Sus scrofa: one gene and its partners. The protein of the gene in region 3 purifies or fractionates together with the protein of the main gene of each other region. This does not show direct contact. Links are inferred from orthologs where the notes say so. Each region holds a gene or a part of one and is shown on either strand. Other genes may lie near its edges. The genes, in order: SQLE, PLIN2 and MARCH6.

Evidence for each region.
Region 1: the proteins of MARCH6 (region 3) and SQLE purify together in Homo sapiens (affinity purification with western blotting; 4 studies listed by BioGRID and IntAct, with this or other methods). This does not show direct contact. The link is inferred for Sus scrofa from reciprocal best matches to the Homo sapiens genes MARCHF6 and SQLE.
Region 2: the proteins of MARCH6 (region 3) and PLIN2 purify together in Homo sapiens (affinity purification with western blotting; 3 studies listed by BioGRID). This does not show direct contact. The link is inferred for Sus scrofa from reciprocal best matches to the Homo sapiens genes MARCHF6 and PLIN2.

The regions. Positions count from the first base shown.
Region 1 is NC_010446.5:14,679,192-14,682,796, reverse strand, and holds part of SQLE (squalene monooxygenase), read left to right. Parts: intron 1-780; coding exon 781-894; intron 895-978; coding exon 979-1,150; intron 1,151-3,605. UniProt on the Homo sapiens protein: Catalyzes the stereospecific oxidation of squalene to (S)-2,3-epoxysqualene, and is considered to be a rate-limiting enzyme in steroid biosynthesis.
Region 2 is NC_010443.5:203,682,489-203,686,841, forward strand, and holds the start of PLIN2 (perilipin-2), read left to right. Parts: upstream 1-1,517; 5' UTR 1,518-1,607; exon of another isoform or gene 1,608-1,611; intron 1,612-3,157; 5' UTR 3,158-3,179; coding exon 3,180-3,209; intron 3,210-3,295; coding exon 3,296-3,491; intron 3,492-4,353. UniProt on the Homo sapiens protein: Structural component of lipid droplets, which is required for the formation and maintenance of lipid storage droplets.
Region 3 is NC_010458.4:72,125,041-72,129,300, reverse strand, and holds the start of MARCH6 (E3 ubiquitin-protein ligase MARCH6), read left to right. Parts: upstream 1-1,431; 5' UTR 1,432-1,668; coding exon 1,669-1,687; intron 1,688-4,260. UniProt on the Homo sapiens protein: Endoplasmic reticulum membrane-associated E3 ubiquitin ligase that plays a critical role in mitigating endoplasmic reticulum stress, the regulation of cholesterol and lipid homeostasis, and ferroptosis.

The DNA of each region.
Region 1 (3,605 bases), on a different chromosome or scaffold from region 3:
CCCTAGCAGAGAAGCAGAGGGGAGCTGGAAGGTGAAAAAACAAAGGATTCAGCATAAAAGAAATAATTAGGAGAAAATAAATTACTGTTTAAATAAGAAAGGCAAAAGCAAGAGAATCTCTGGAGAAGTAGCAGAATAAAATAGTTTCCAGCGTTGGCTCTTGTTGGTTTAGTAGGAGAAGAGAAAAATCAAGGGCTTATCTGCTGATTCTCCCTGGCTGCTGCCCCACAGGGTTACCACCTCCTAGAAATTGTACTCTGATGGAGGCGATTGCAAGGTAATATCAGTAATTCCTCCACATGTTCTAAGCCCTAGCCACTGACTGAACGCACTGTTTGAGGTTAGAAAATTCTCAAATAAAAGAATGTGGTTGGTCTTTGGAGTTTGTAATGAGATTCAGTCTTCTGTGAGCTGTGTCCGTCAAAGTGGCTTAATCCCAGATGGCTTGGATGGTAGGGTCTTGAGGGGGGATGATCCTTCAATAGCATTATCTTCAAATCCTCTCTGTAATGTCCGATGATTATGTATTTAACTTTGTTTACGTACCTTTTAAAAAATGGTCGAATCCCAGATGGTTTGGATGGTAGAGTCTTGAGGGAGGGTGATCCCCTAATGGTCTTGCATTAACTTGAGCTCACATAACAGCTCCTTCAATAGCATTATCTTCACATCTCTCTGTAATGTCCAATTATATATTTAACTTTACGTACATTTTAAAAAATGGTCTTTTCACTGTGTATTTTTAACCATTTAGTTGACTATCCTTTATTTTTGTTGTAGGAACTCCATGCTCCATTGACTATTGTCGCAGATGGACTTTTTTCCAAATTCAGGAAAAACCTGATCTCCAATAAAGTTTCTGTTTCCTCTCATTTTGTTGGCTTTCTTATGGAGGTACTGTAGGAGTGCAATTGTAGAAAATTAAAAGCAATCTGAAATTTGGAAATTATTAAAATTTTTTTTTATTTGTTTTTCTAGAATGCACCACAGTTTAAAGCAAATCATGCTGAACTTGTTTTAGCTAATCCGAGTCCAGTTCTCATCTACCAGATTTCACCTAGTGAAACTCGAGTACTTGTTGACATCCGAGGAGAAATGCCAAGGAATTTAAGAGAATACATGATTGAAAACATTTACCCACAACTACCTGGTAAGAAATAGGATTTCACTCCCATTGTAGTCTGTCGCCTACAAGTAAGTTGGGTCATCTCCAGTTCCCACTAAAGCTTTGTCACAATTAGGCCGAAGATAAGGATGGCAGGTGAAAAATGCATCCAGTCAGATACACTGGAGCTGAATGAACTATTTAAACTAGCACATGAAAAAATCTCCAAGTTAAAAAAAATAGTTTCAATGTATTTTTTCATAGTAATAATTAAAGCATAGTTTTCCAAATAATTATTAATATTGGCATATAGTATTTTTTAAGGTAGTCTTGATAGTGATCTAAGGTCTCTGATTTCTTGAAATATCTCTTAAACTTCATTACTTTCCGTGTTTGGATTTTGTAGAAATGATAGATAGCTACCTTTTATTGAAGGCCTACTGTATAAGAGGTTCTTTACAAACATAATTTAATTTCATCTACACAACCACCCTATGAGGTAGGCATTATCATTATCCTAGTTTTACAAATGAGGGAACTAAGATTCAGAGAGGTTACTCAGCTTCTCCAAAGATAAACTGTAAGTAGCCGTGGCAAGGTTGAAAGCAGGTCTTTCTGTCTCCTGTATCCCTGCTGGCAGAACGTGATGGCCATGGGGGGGGTCCTCAAGATCGGTTTAGTTTGGAGTTGAATACAGAAAGGCTTTGTGAGGGTTGGTTTTTTTTTTTTTTTTTTTTTTTTTTTTTCAGAGCCATACCTGAGGCATATGGAAGTTCCTGGGCTAGAGGTTGAATCGGAGCTGCAGTTGCTGGCCTGTACTGCAGCCACAGCAACACAGGATCTGATCTGCATCTGTGACCTACACCATAGCTCATACTAGTTGGGTTCGTAACCTGCTGAGCCACCATAGGAACTCTTAAGGCTTTGTGAGATTTTAGACATCTTTGTAAAATACTCATAAAAATTAGGATTTTTTTTTTTTGAGAATGGGAGGATGTAAGAAAGAAATGTAAAAAAAATAAGAATGTTGATAAAATTGAAGTGAAACCCTGTTTGCCAATTGTATTATTATAGTAATAGATTATTCTTGGTATGAGTCCATTTTATTTAAATACTTTTTTTGACTATGCCTGCAGCATGTGGAAGTTCCTGGGCCTGGGATTGAACCCAAGTAACAGCAGTGACCCAAGCCCCAACACTAGATCCTTAACCTGTTGCACCATAAGGGGACTCCTTAATATTCTTTTTAAAAAATTATTATTTTTTGTCTTTTTAGGGTCATACCTGTGGCATATGGAAGTTCCCGGGCTAGGGGTCAAATTGGAGGTGCAACTGCCGGCCTACACCACAGCCATAGCAATTCCAGATCCGAGCTGCATCTGCGGCAACGTGGGATCCTTAAACCCCTGAGTGAGGCCAGGGATCAAACCTGTGTCCTCATGGATGCTAGTTGCGTTCGTTAACACTGAGCTGCAACGGGAACACCTAAAATTATTCTTTAAACTAAGGGAAAGCACTGTGTTTAATTATTGACAGTATTATCAGAAATGAAAGAATACATGGACCATTTTCAACTTTTAATAATGACATTTTCAGCATTTCAATATATTTTCACTCAGTTAAGCCATTTTCTGAAGCAAGTTGGAACGATTGAGTTACACATTTTAGAAAAGGGATAGTTAATAATGTGATTTTTTAGCTTTTTTTTTCTTTTATAGTAGACTGTTTTTTTCCAAACCAGAGCTTAGTTGGAGCAGACCACCCTGTAGTCAGGGAGAGAAACTATTTGTAGGTTTATGTGCATATTAGTCAGGTTATAGAAATTCTCATTGTGAGAAGGGAATGGTTTCAACACAGGCAGTTCTGCTCCTGTGTTCAGATTACAATACAAATTCAATGAAAAGGAAGTCCATTTTCTTTCTTGCTTTTTTTTTTGTTGTTGTTGTCTTTTTGCCTTTTCTAGGGCAGCACCCGAGGCATATGGAAGTTCCCAGGCTAGGGGTCGAATCAGAGCTGTAGCCGCCGGCCTACACCAGAGCCACAAGCAACCTGGGATCTGAGCCGCATCTGCAACCTACACCACAGCTCACGGCAACGCTGGATCCTTAACCCACTGAGCTAGGCCAGGGATCCAGGGATCGAACCCACAACCTCATGGTTCCTAGTCGGATTCGTTAACCACTGAGTCACAACGGGAACTCCCAGAAGTCCATTTTCTATACAGGTAGAAGCACAAGACTTTAAAACTAGGAAGTATCTCAGAGATGAGCTAATCCAACTGTTTCCTTTCTAGACAGAGAGACTGAAATTCAGAAAGTGGTTCTCTCTACATCTTACCCTTTTTCTGCTGTACATACACTCCTGCTGTATGTGAATTGGTTTATCCCACCTGTTACAGAATATGGTGGTGACCAGAGGTTGGGTGTTAAATACACGAGTGTCAGGTGTTAATCAGTTAACATTTGGAAGAGAAGTGGGTGGTTTTTCTGTCTCTGGGTTT
Region 2 (4,353 bases), on a different chromosome or scaffold from region 3:
GGTTGCGTAACTTGTTTGCTCATACAAGTTTGTTCAAGTCCTTGCCTTTTACACAAGAAAAAACTGGGGCTCATAGGATGATGACTTTGTTTCTTATTTTTGGCCATGCCAGTGGCATGTGAAAGATCCCTGGCCAGGTATGAAACCCACACCGCAGCTGTGACCAAGCCACAGCAGGAGGACTACAGGGGACCCGTAACTTCCTGAGCCACCAGAGAAATTTTTTTTTTTTTTTTTTTTTTTTTTTTTGGACACGTATGGAGTTCCCTGGCCAGGGATCAGATCCAAGCCGCAGCTGCGGCAACATCCTTCCCACCCCGTCCTTAACACACTGTATCAGGCTAGGAATCCAACCAATGTCTCAGCGCTGGCAAGTCGCTGCAGAGCCTGTTGGGCCCACAGCAGGAACTCCCACTAGGGAACTTTTTTTTTTTTTGGCCTTTTGCCATTTCTAGGGCCACTTCTGCGGCATATGGAGGTTCCCAGGCTAGGGGTCGAATTGGAGCTGTAGCCGCCGGGCCTAAGCCAGAGCCACAGCAACACGGTCTGAGCAGCGTCTGCGACCTACACCACAGCTCACCGCAACGCGGGATCCTTAACCCACTGAGCAAAGCCAGATCGAACCCGCAAACTCCTGATGATTTGTTTATTTAAAAAGAAAACGCATAACCCACAACTTTTTAAAAAAGAGGTCATCCTGCATAGTAAACATAGGCAGCAATCACCCCAGGGTGATTTTAGTCTTGATGAGGAAACAAAAGAGACTGAGGGTAGTCTCACAACTTTTGGAAATTCCGATTCAACTTTAAATTAGGCAGATGTTTGAGGAACTGATTTTATTTATTTATTTATTTATTTTTTGTCTTTTTTTTTGTTGTTGTTGTTGTTGCTATTTCTTGGGCCGCTCCCGCGGCATATGGAGGTTCCCAGGCTAGGGGTTGAATCGGAGCTGTAGCCACCGGCCTACGCCAGAGCCACAGCAACGCGGGATCCGAGCCGTGTCTGCGACCTACACCACAGCTCACGGCAACGCCGGATCGTTAACCCACTGAGCAAGGGGCAGGGACCGAACCCGCAACCTCATGGTTCCTAGTCGGATTCGTTAACCACTGCACCACGACGGGAACTCCAGGAACTGATTTTAAAGTCTAAAGAGCAGCAAAACCGCAATCTCTACAGATCCTTCCTGGGTTGGAATTTCACAAAACTGTAGGACTTATTTCCTTGCTATAAGTAACAGTCTAGACGCCACCGTTACCATTTTTAAAGACAGTTCTACTCCGAGGACTGATAGAAATCAACAGTTTAGTTACAGGCTGTCCCCAACACTCCTCCACCGCCTTTTGCAAAGCAACTACGCCTGCGTAGGCGCTGGCGCATTTTTGCCGGGCGCTGGGCCCCTCAGCTCTCCTGACTTAGGCAGGGCCCCCGCCAACGCAGGACAGACCCCGCCCCCGCCAAAGGCGCGCAGCTGCCTCTAAGGTCTCGGATTTCAAGAGGCCTCGGGTCACGTGGTGCGGGGCGGGTTATAAAGCCAGGCGCTGTAGGGCCCAGCTCTGTTGACTGCCGCGCTGATTTCCCGGGCTCTCGACTCTAATTTGCTGCTGGTCGGTGGGTGTGCGCCTCTTTCTGTGGTTTCTCCTGGCTGCTCGGCGCCGGCGGGCTTCAGGCTGGTCTCTCGCGGCCTCACGGCGGTTTCCGGCCCCGGCTGGGAAGGGGCGGTCTCCTGGGCTTGCGCTTTCCACCCTCGCTTTTGATGGTTGAGGCTTCTTTTCTGGCCGCTGCTATAGTGCGGTTGTAGCTTCTTGGCTTGGTTGCGGGTTAACAGTTTCCATTTGTTCCGAAAGGACATTATTAAAAGGAAACGCGGGAGAAAATCGTCTTAAGCCAGAATTTTCTGGGGGTACGCAGTGACATGCCGGCCTATTGATACTGGCCTTCAGCGTGGTTCTTGTTTCATGTAAAACACACTCTTGGCGGCAGTGTGAACTTACTGGCCTGGAAGTGATGGACAGAGGGTGTTCGGGTTCCTTCCTTCCCAGTTCTGCTGCTCAGCTGTAGGGCTGTTTGGTGTGGCTGTGGGTCGTTGGGGACAATAAGTTGACATTTAAAAGCGTCCTGAAAATTTTTTCTGTTCTTCGGAGCACTCCGTTTCTCCTGTGCTTAATGTCCTTTGAACTAGTTTCAGCCCTTTGACAAAGAATAAATTCCCCTCAAAGTGCTTCTTCTTGATCGTCTTGACTATCCAAGACGTCTTCTACTTGAAAGGCAGCTTTAGTTTTAACATGGATTTTTTTTTTTTTTTTTGGGGTCTTTTTCTAGGGCCGCACCCGCGGCACAGGGAGGTTCCCAGGCTAGGGGTCTAATTGGAGCTACAGCCGCCAGCCTGCGCCCGAGCTACAGCAACTCCGGATCCGAGCAGTGTCTGCAACCTACACCACAGCTCATGGCAAGGCCGGATCCTAACCCACTGAGCGAGGCTAGGGATTGAACCCGCAACCTCATCGTTCCTAGTCGGATTCGTTAACCACTGAGCCACGATGGGAACTCCTTAACATGGATTTTTACTTGGTTAGCATTTTTGCCCACAGATAGTTCTCTTCCAAAGGCATCTCAAATGTCCTGGTGGGGAAAATATTGAATTGTACACTTTAAGTGGGTGAATTATACACGTGAGCTCCGAAGCATCTGGGAATGTATTTACCCAGGGGAGAGTTCTGAGAGTCAGAGGGTGGGAAGAAGTGCCAGCTACCCTTAACTTCATCTCTGTTCTCCTTCCTTTGCTTGAAACTAGCTTTTGCTTTGGTTGGGGGTGGAATTTGGGAGAGTCTTTTTTTTTTTTTTGTCTTTTTTGTTGTTGTTGTTGTTGCTATTTCTTGGGCCGCTCCCGCGGGCATATGGAGGTTCCCAGGCTAGGGGTTGAATCAGAGCTGTAGCCACCGGCCTACGCTAGAGCCACAGCAACGCGGGATCCGAGCCGCGTCTGCAACCTACACCACAGCTCACGGCAACGCCGGATCGTTAACCCACTGAGCAAGGGCAGGGACCGAACCCGCAACCTCATGGTTCCTAGTCGGATTCGTTAACCACTGCGCCACGACGGGAACTTCGGGGAGAGTCTTATTACAATGTCCTGAAATAAATTTCTCTTCCACAGATTTCTTACTCCAGGAAGAAACATGGCATCCGTTGCTGTTGAATCACAACCGGTAGGATTTTTAAATAGCTGTTTCTTGATTCCGTTACCTCCCCCGTGTGTTTTGGAAGTTAACACCTCTCTCCCCCTTGGTTGCAGAGTGTGGTGACAAGGGTGGCCAACCTACCCTTGGTGAGCTCCACGTATGACCTTGTCTCCTCGGCTTATATCAGTACAAAGGATCAGTATCCCTACTTGAAGTCTCTGTGTGAGATGGCAGAGAAGGGCGTCAAGACCATCACCTCCGTGGCCATGTCCGGTGCTCTCCCTATCATCCAGAAGCTAGAGCCTCAGAGTAAGTTCCCATTTCCCCTCACAATTTAGTCCCAGGTATTCAGGAGTGAGCCTGAAGCTGGCCTGAATATTATAAATGTCTGTGTTGGGCCCTAAGCACACAATAGCTATGCTAGGGAATCCTCAGCCTTTTCTGAAGTACATGTGTCCTTTACTGGAAAAACTGCCAGATGAACCCTCAGTGTTATGGAAGCTTCCACAATGTTATGGAACCCTCATTGCCGCTTCATAGCAATGGCAGATGCTATGATACTAAAAAAAAAAAAAAAAAAATCCCCCAGAGATGCTTCTACATTGGGAACTGAGATAACAAGGGAACCCAGAGAAAGAGCTAACTTTCTTGGGACTACACAGTATACATGAACTGTTTAAAATAAATAAATAACAACATATAATTCACCCACTTAAAGTATATAATTCAGTGGTTATTAATACATGCAGAGTTATGTGGACATTACTATGATCAATTTGAGAACATTTTCATAACCCTAGAGAGAAACCTCATGAATTTCTGTTTGGTTTGATGAAAAAGTCCTAGAAATGATGGTGGTAATTGTTCCCCAATATTGTGAATGAATTTAATGCTAGTGAATTGTACACTTAAAAATAGTTAATAGGGGAGTTTTCTGGTTGGTGCAGTGTGTTAAGGATCCAGCTTTGCTACTGCTGAGGCTCAGGTCACTGCTGTGGCATGGTTTCCCTGGCCCAGGGAACTTCTCTATGCTGTGGGGCACAGCCAAAGAGAAAAAAAAAATAGTTAAAATGGTGAAGTTTTTAAATGTATATTTTACTACAATTTTTTTTAAAAAGAAAGAAACCATATGCTCATTTGCAGTCACTCCCCATCCCCCTCACCTTCCTTA
Region 3 (4,260 bases):
CATTATTGTGTCAAGAACTTGAATTCCTTCCTGTCTTGGGTACCATGAGTGACATTGGTCAAATCAGTGACATTAGTCTTCAAGGGCTGCTCTCTTTCTGAAGGATTCTACTTCATTATTTTCATTCTCAGTTTCATTCTGATTGAGGAAGTTCAGAGGTGGGAGATTTTCCCAATTCCTTTCCTCACACGGATAGAAAAGAGATGGCTAGCATTCTTGCATCTATTTCTGCAATTTATCTGCATATTGTTTAAAATATATTTTCTTGGGATTAGAGACATCTTTAGTTCTACTTAGGTAATTCTAAGGTGGTGGCCTTTCTCATCAGTAATTTCTAAATAGTTCTAAATAATTTCTAAATAATTCTAAATAATTCTAAATAATTTCTAAATAATTCTTTGGTGAGGAAAAGTGGTGTACTGAAAGAACGTGCTCAGTCTTTCATAAGGCTGAAGCAATTTAGCCCTGGCCAGGTTAAGTGTCCATAACCCAGTATACCAAGTTCTGTCCCTATCTGAACAGATTTCCCCTAGAGAAGGGTGTTTGTTTCAACCTCCAACCTAAGCAGTTTATTGTAGTTCTTCCAGTCAAATGCAGAACTATGGTAATGATAGGGCCTGACTTTTTCATTTTACTTCCTTTTTGTCTTTTGTCTTTTTAGGGCTGCAGCCGTGGCATACGGAGATTCCCAGACTAGGGGTCCAATGGAAACTCTAGCTGCCGGCCTACGCCACAGCCAAAGGAAATCAGAGCCTCGACTGCAACCTACACCACAGCTCAAGGCAAAGCCAGATCTTAACCCACTCAGCCAGGCCAGGGATCGAATCCCCAACGTCATGGTTACTAGTTGGGTTCATTAACCACTGAGTGACGTCGGGAACTCTGACTTTTTAATTTTATTGGCATTCTAGTACTTCCTCAAAACATGCATCAGAACTGCCCGCGTGCAGAACAAAAATGCATATTCCTGGGCCAGCTCCAGACACGCGGCACCGGAATCTCCGGGCGCGATAGCGCAGAACTCGTATTTCACAAGTCCCAGGTAACAGTTCTTCAGCCCTGGGACCCGTCTTTGTCCTGCACCGCCGCCCGGCCTGCGCTGGGCTAGCCGCCTCGCTGTCAGGCGCTGGCTCACGCTGCTCACTTCCATCGTGTTGTGTCTTCTTTGTTGCTTCCCTCAGTGTTATTAGAGTTCAACTCCTACTAAGGTTTCAGCCTCGCTGCCCCGCGCAACCCTCAGGACAAGGTCCAGGAGGCCCAATGCCCACGACGGCGGCCACCAGCTGCTCGGGCCGGGCCGGGATGGCCCCCCACGGGTACCGCGCACTGAGCGTGCGCGCCTCCGCCGCGGCCGGAAATGACGGCACCTGTCGTTGGGGGCGCTCCGCCCCTTCCGCCTCCATGCCCCGCCCAGGCCTCGCCCCTCTGCTCTCCCCGACCCTCCCCCTCCCCTCTGTCGCCCGCTTTCTGTCAGCCTCTCTCCCTCTCCCTCTTCCCCTCTCTCCTTCCTCTAGCTTCCTCTCTCGCACCTGAGCACAAACACCTGCCCGGGCCCGGCTCCGCTCCCTCCTCCCTCCTCCCCCTCCCTTTTTCCCCGCCCCGGCCGGAAGGCTCCGGCCTCGGCCACAGGAGCTTCGCGGCTGCGTCACCGCCGCCCCCTCAGACAAGATGGACACCGCCGAGGAAGGTAAGTCGGCGGCGCCCGCGCCCTTTCTCCCGCGCCCGGGTTCGGGCTGGGCCCGCGCCCAGTCTGCGGCGCTCCAGGCGGGCCGCGGGGCCCGGGCGGCGCTGGGGGCACCTCGGCTCGGGGCGGAGGCGCGCGGTGACAGCGGGGGACCGGCGCCCGGGCCGTTTGCCCGCCGAGCAGCCCGGCGCGAGGGGCGGCGGGGACAGAAGGTGACCCCTCGGCGCCCCCCGCCGTTTCCCGCCCGCGCGCGTGGAGGGCAGGGCCCCTGCCCGGGCCGGGGGGCGTCGGGGCTGCGGTGGCCGCGGCCGGTGAGACTCCCCACCCCTCCGTCCCGCCAGCCCCGGGGGACGACGCTGTCGTCGCCGCTCAGAGTCTGGGGGCGTTTTCCACACCCTTCCCCCACTCGGTTTTGTCTTTCTTTATATCGTTTTGCCCGTAGCTCTGCGGGCCCGACCCTTTCACGGCAGAACTTCTTTGTTGACTCAAACTTAGCGAAAAATACCCCGCCAGGTGACGGCTGAGTGGAATCAACTGACCCCTATTTAAAAACCTTATCCTCTGCTTGCGAGTCCCGAATTATTTGTTTACTAAACGGGGACGAGGCAGGCCCAACGGGGTTATTCGCAGAAGGGGTGCTCTGTAGAATTCCTTTGTTTCAGTGTGATTTATTTTGTGCTTAATCCCTGACACCAATAAGCCGAGTTTTGTGCGTGTGTTGCTTGGTTGAGTGTGTGTGTGTTTTGGATGTGGCTGTTTTGGATCAAGCTGACTCTTGTAAACTGAATACATACGTGGATACATAACTGAACAGTTGTGACTATTGAAATGCATTTGCTTATCCGCTGACGGTAATTAGGTTGTTTTTTAAGCAGTTTTATCTTTTTAGAGTCTATCGAATAATTTTACTGAGTCCATAGAGGAAATTACTCTCCTGATGCTTGATGTGTAGGATGTCAGTGAAGATAAGATACCTTTCTGCTTCGGGTATATTATGTAGCTGTCTGATAAGCACCTTTCAACCGTATGGATTTTGGTGATTTTAAATGAGGATCTTTGAGGACTGTTGTGGCGTGCAATAATGAGTGACAGGAAGTTTGATACTGTATGTGTAATGAGTGGAGACAATTTATTATTTTTTAAAGAAGTCTTAGTAAGAACTTCAAACTGTAGCCGCATGTTATACTTGAGTTTACAAAGCATATTTACATGCCTTCACATTTGATCTTAGTAAGAGCCCCGTGGAGTAGCGCGGGGGGTATTATAGATGCGGAAGTTCAGGCTGGCTGGCTTCTTTCTTTCTTCAACAGTGACAAGCCAGATCCTTAACCGCTGAGCTTCCTGGGAACTCCCAAGCTTAGTTATTTAAATAACTTGTCTAAGCTTCACATGCTAGTTAAGAGACAGATATGAACCTAGGCCTTCTCATTACAAATAGTTTTCATTATGTCTTAGTTTTTTTATTATATACAGTGAGTGAAGTAATAACCACCGGCGACTCCTTTGGAAAAAAACAGTCAAGTGACACTGCTGAGGAGGTTATTAGGAATTATCTTCTTTTGATAGATGATTCTTGTGTGTAAATTTCCGTCTCCATAGATTTCACATACTTCTGGATTCAGATTTTAATGACTCAATTTAGTAAGGCTTGTGTTTATTTACCACTTGATAATGTACTGGCATGTTTTCCTCCCATTCTTTAAGCCTGTGCACTTAGTGTTTGCATACTAAATGTGTGGTGTGATAGTGGTAATTCAGGAATTGTAGAATCTGAAAGTTTATGTGGAATCATGATGAAAGAAATATATTTTTTTTGTCTTTGACCACAGCATATGGAAGTTCACAGGCCAGGGGTCAAAGTGGTGCAACAGTAGCAACCTAAGCTGCTGCAGTGACAACACAGGGTCCTTAACCCGCTGAGCCACAGGGAACTCCTGAAAGAAATATTTTCTATGTGCTTCTAGTGCACTGTTTTTTTCCTTGTAAAGTTATAATAAGGGTGAGGTATAAATGATATTTACTGTCTTGAATGCTGTTCTTGAAATAACTAAAATTTACTGAGGACTTAATATAGGGCATGTACTTCACTAAATACTTCATAGACATCTCATTTAATTCTCGTAACACTTTTAGGTACACAGCATTCCCTTTTTTACAGATGGAAGAAAGTAAGGGTTAGTATGATTAAGTAACTTGCCCAAAGTCATGCAGGTAACATGTCAAAGGTGAGATTCAGACTCAGTTCTGTCAGACTCCGTGGTTAAATTAGATATTTGTAAGTGGATACCCAGTATCCGATGTTGAGATAATTATGTTTTTGTTGCTTCCTTTGTAAGAAGAATCATATATGTAATTTTTTTGTTTTGTTTTGTCTTTTTAGGGCCGCATCCACAGCATGTGGAGGTTCCCAGGCTAAGGGTCAAATCAGAGTTGTAGCTGCCGGCCTACACCACAGCCGCAACAATGCAGGATGCGACCTACACCACAGCCCATGGCAACACCGGATCCTTAACCCACATAGGGAGGCCAGGGATCAAACCTGTGTCCTCATGGATACTAGTCAGATTTGTTTCCAC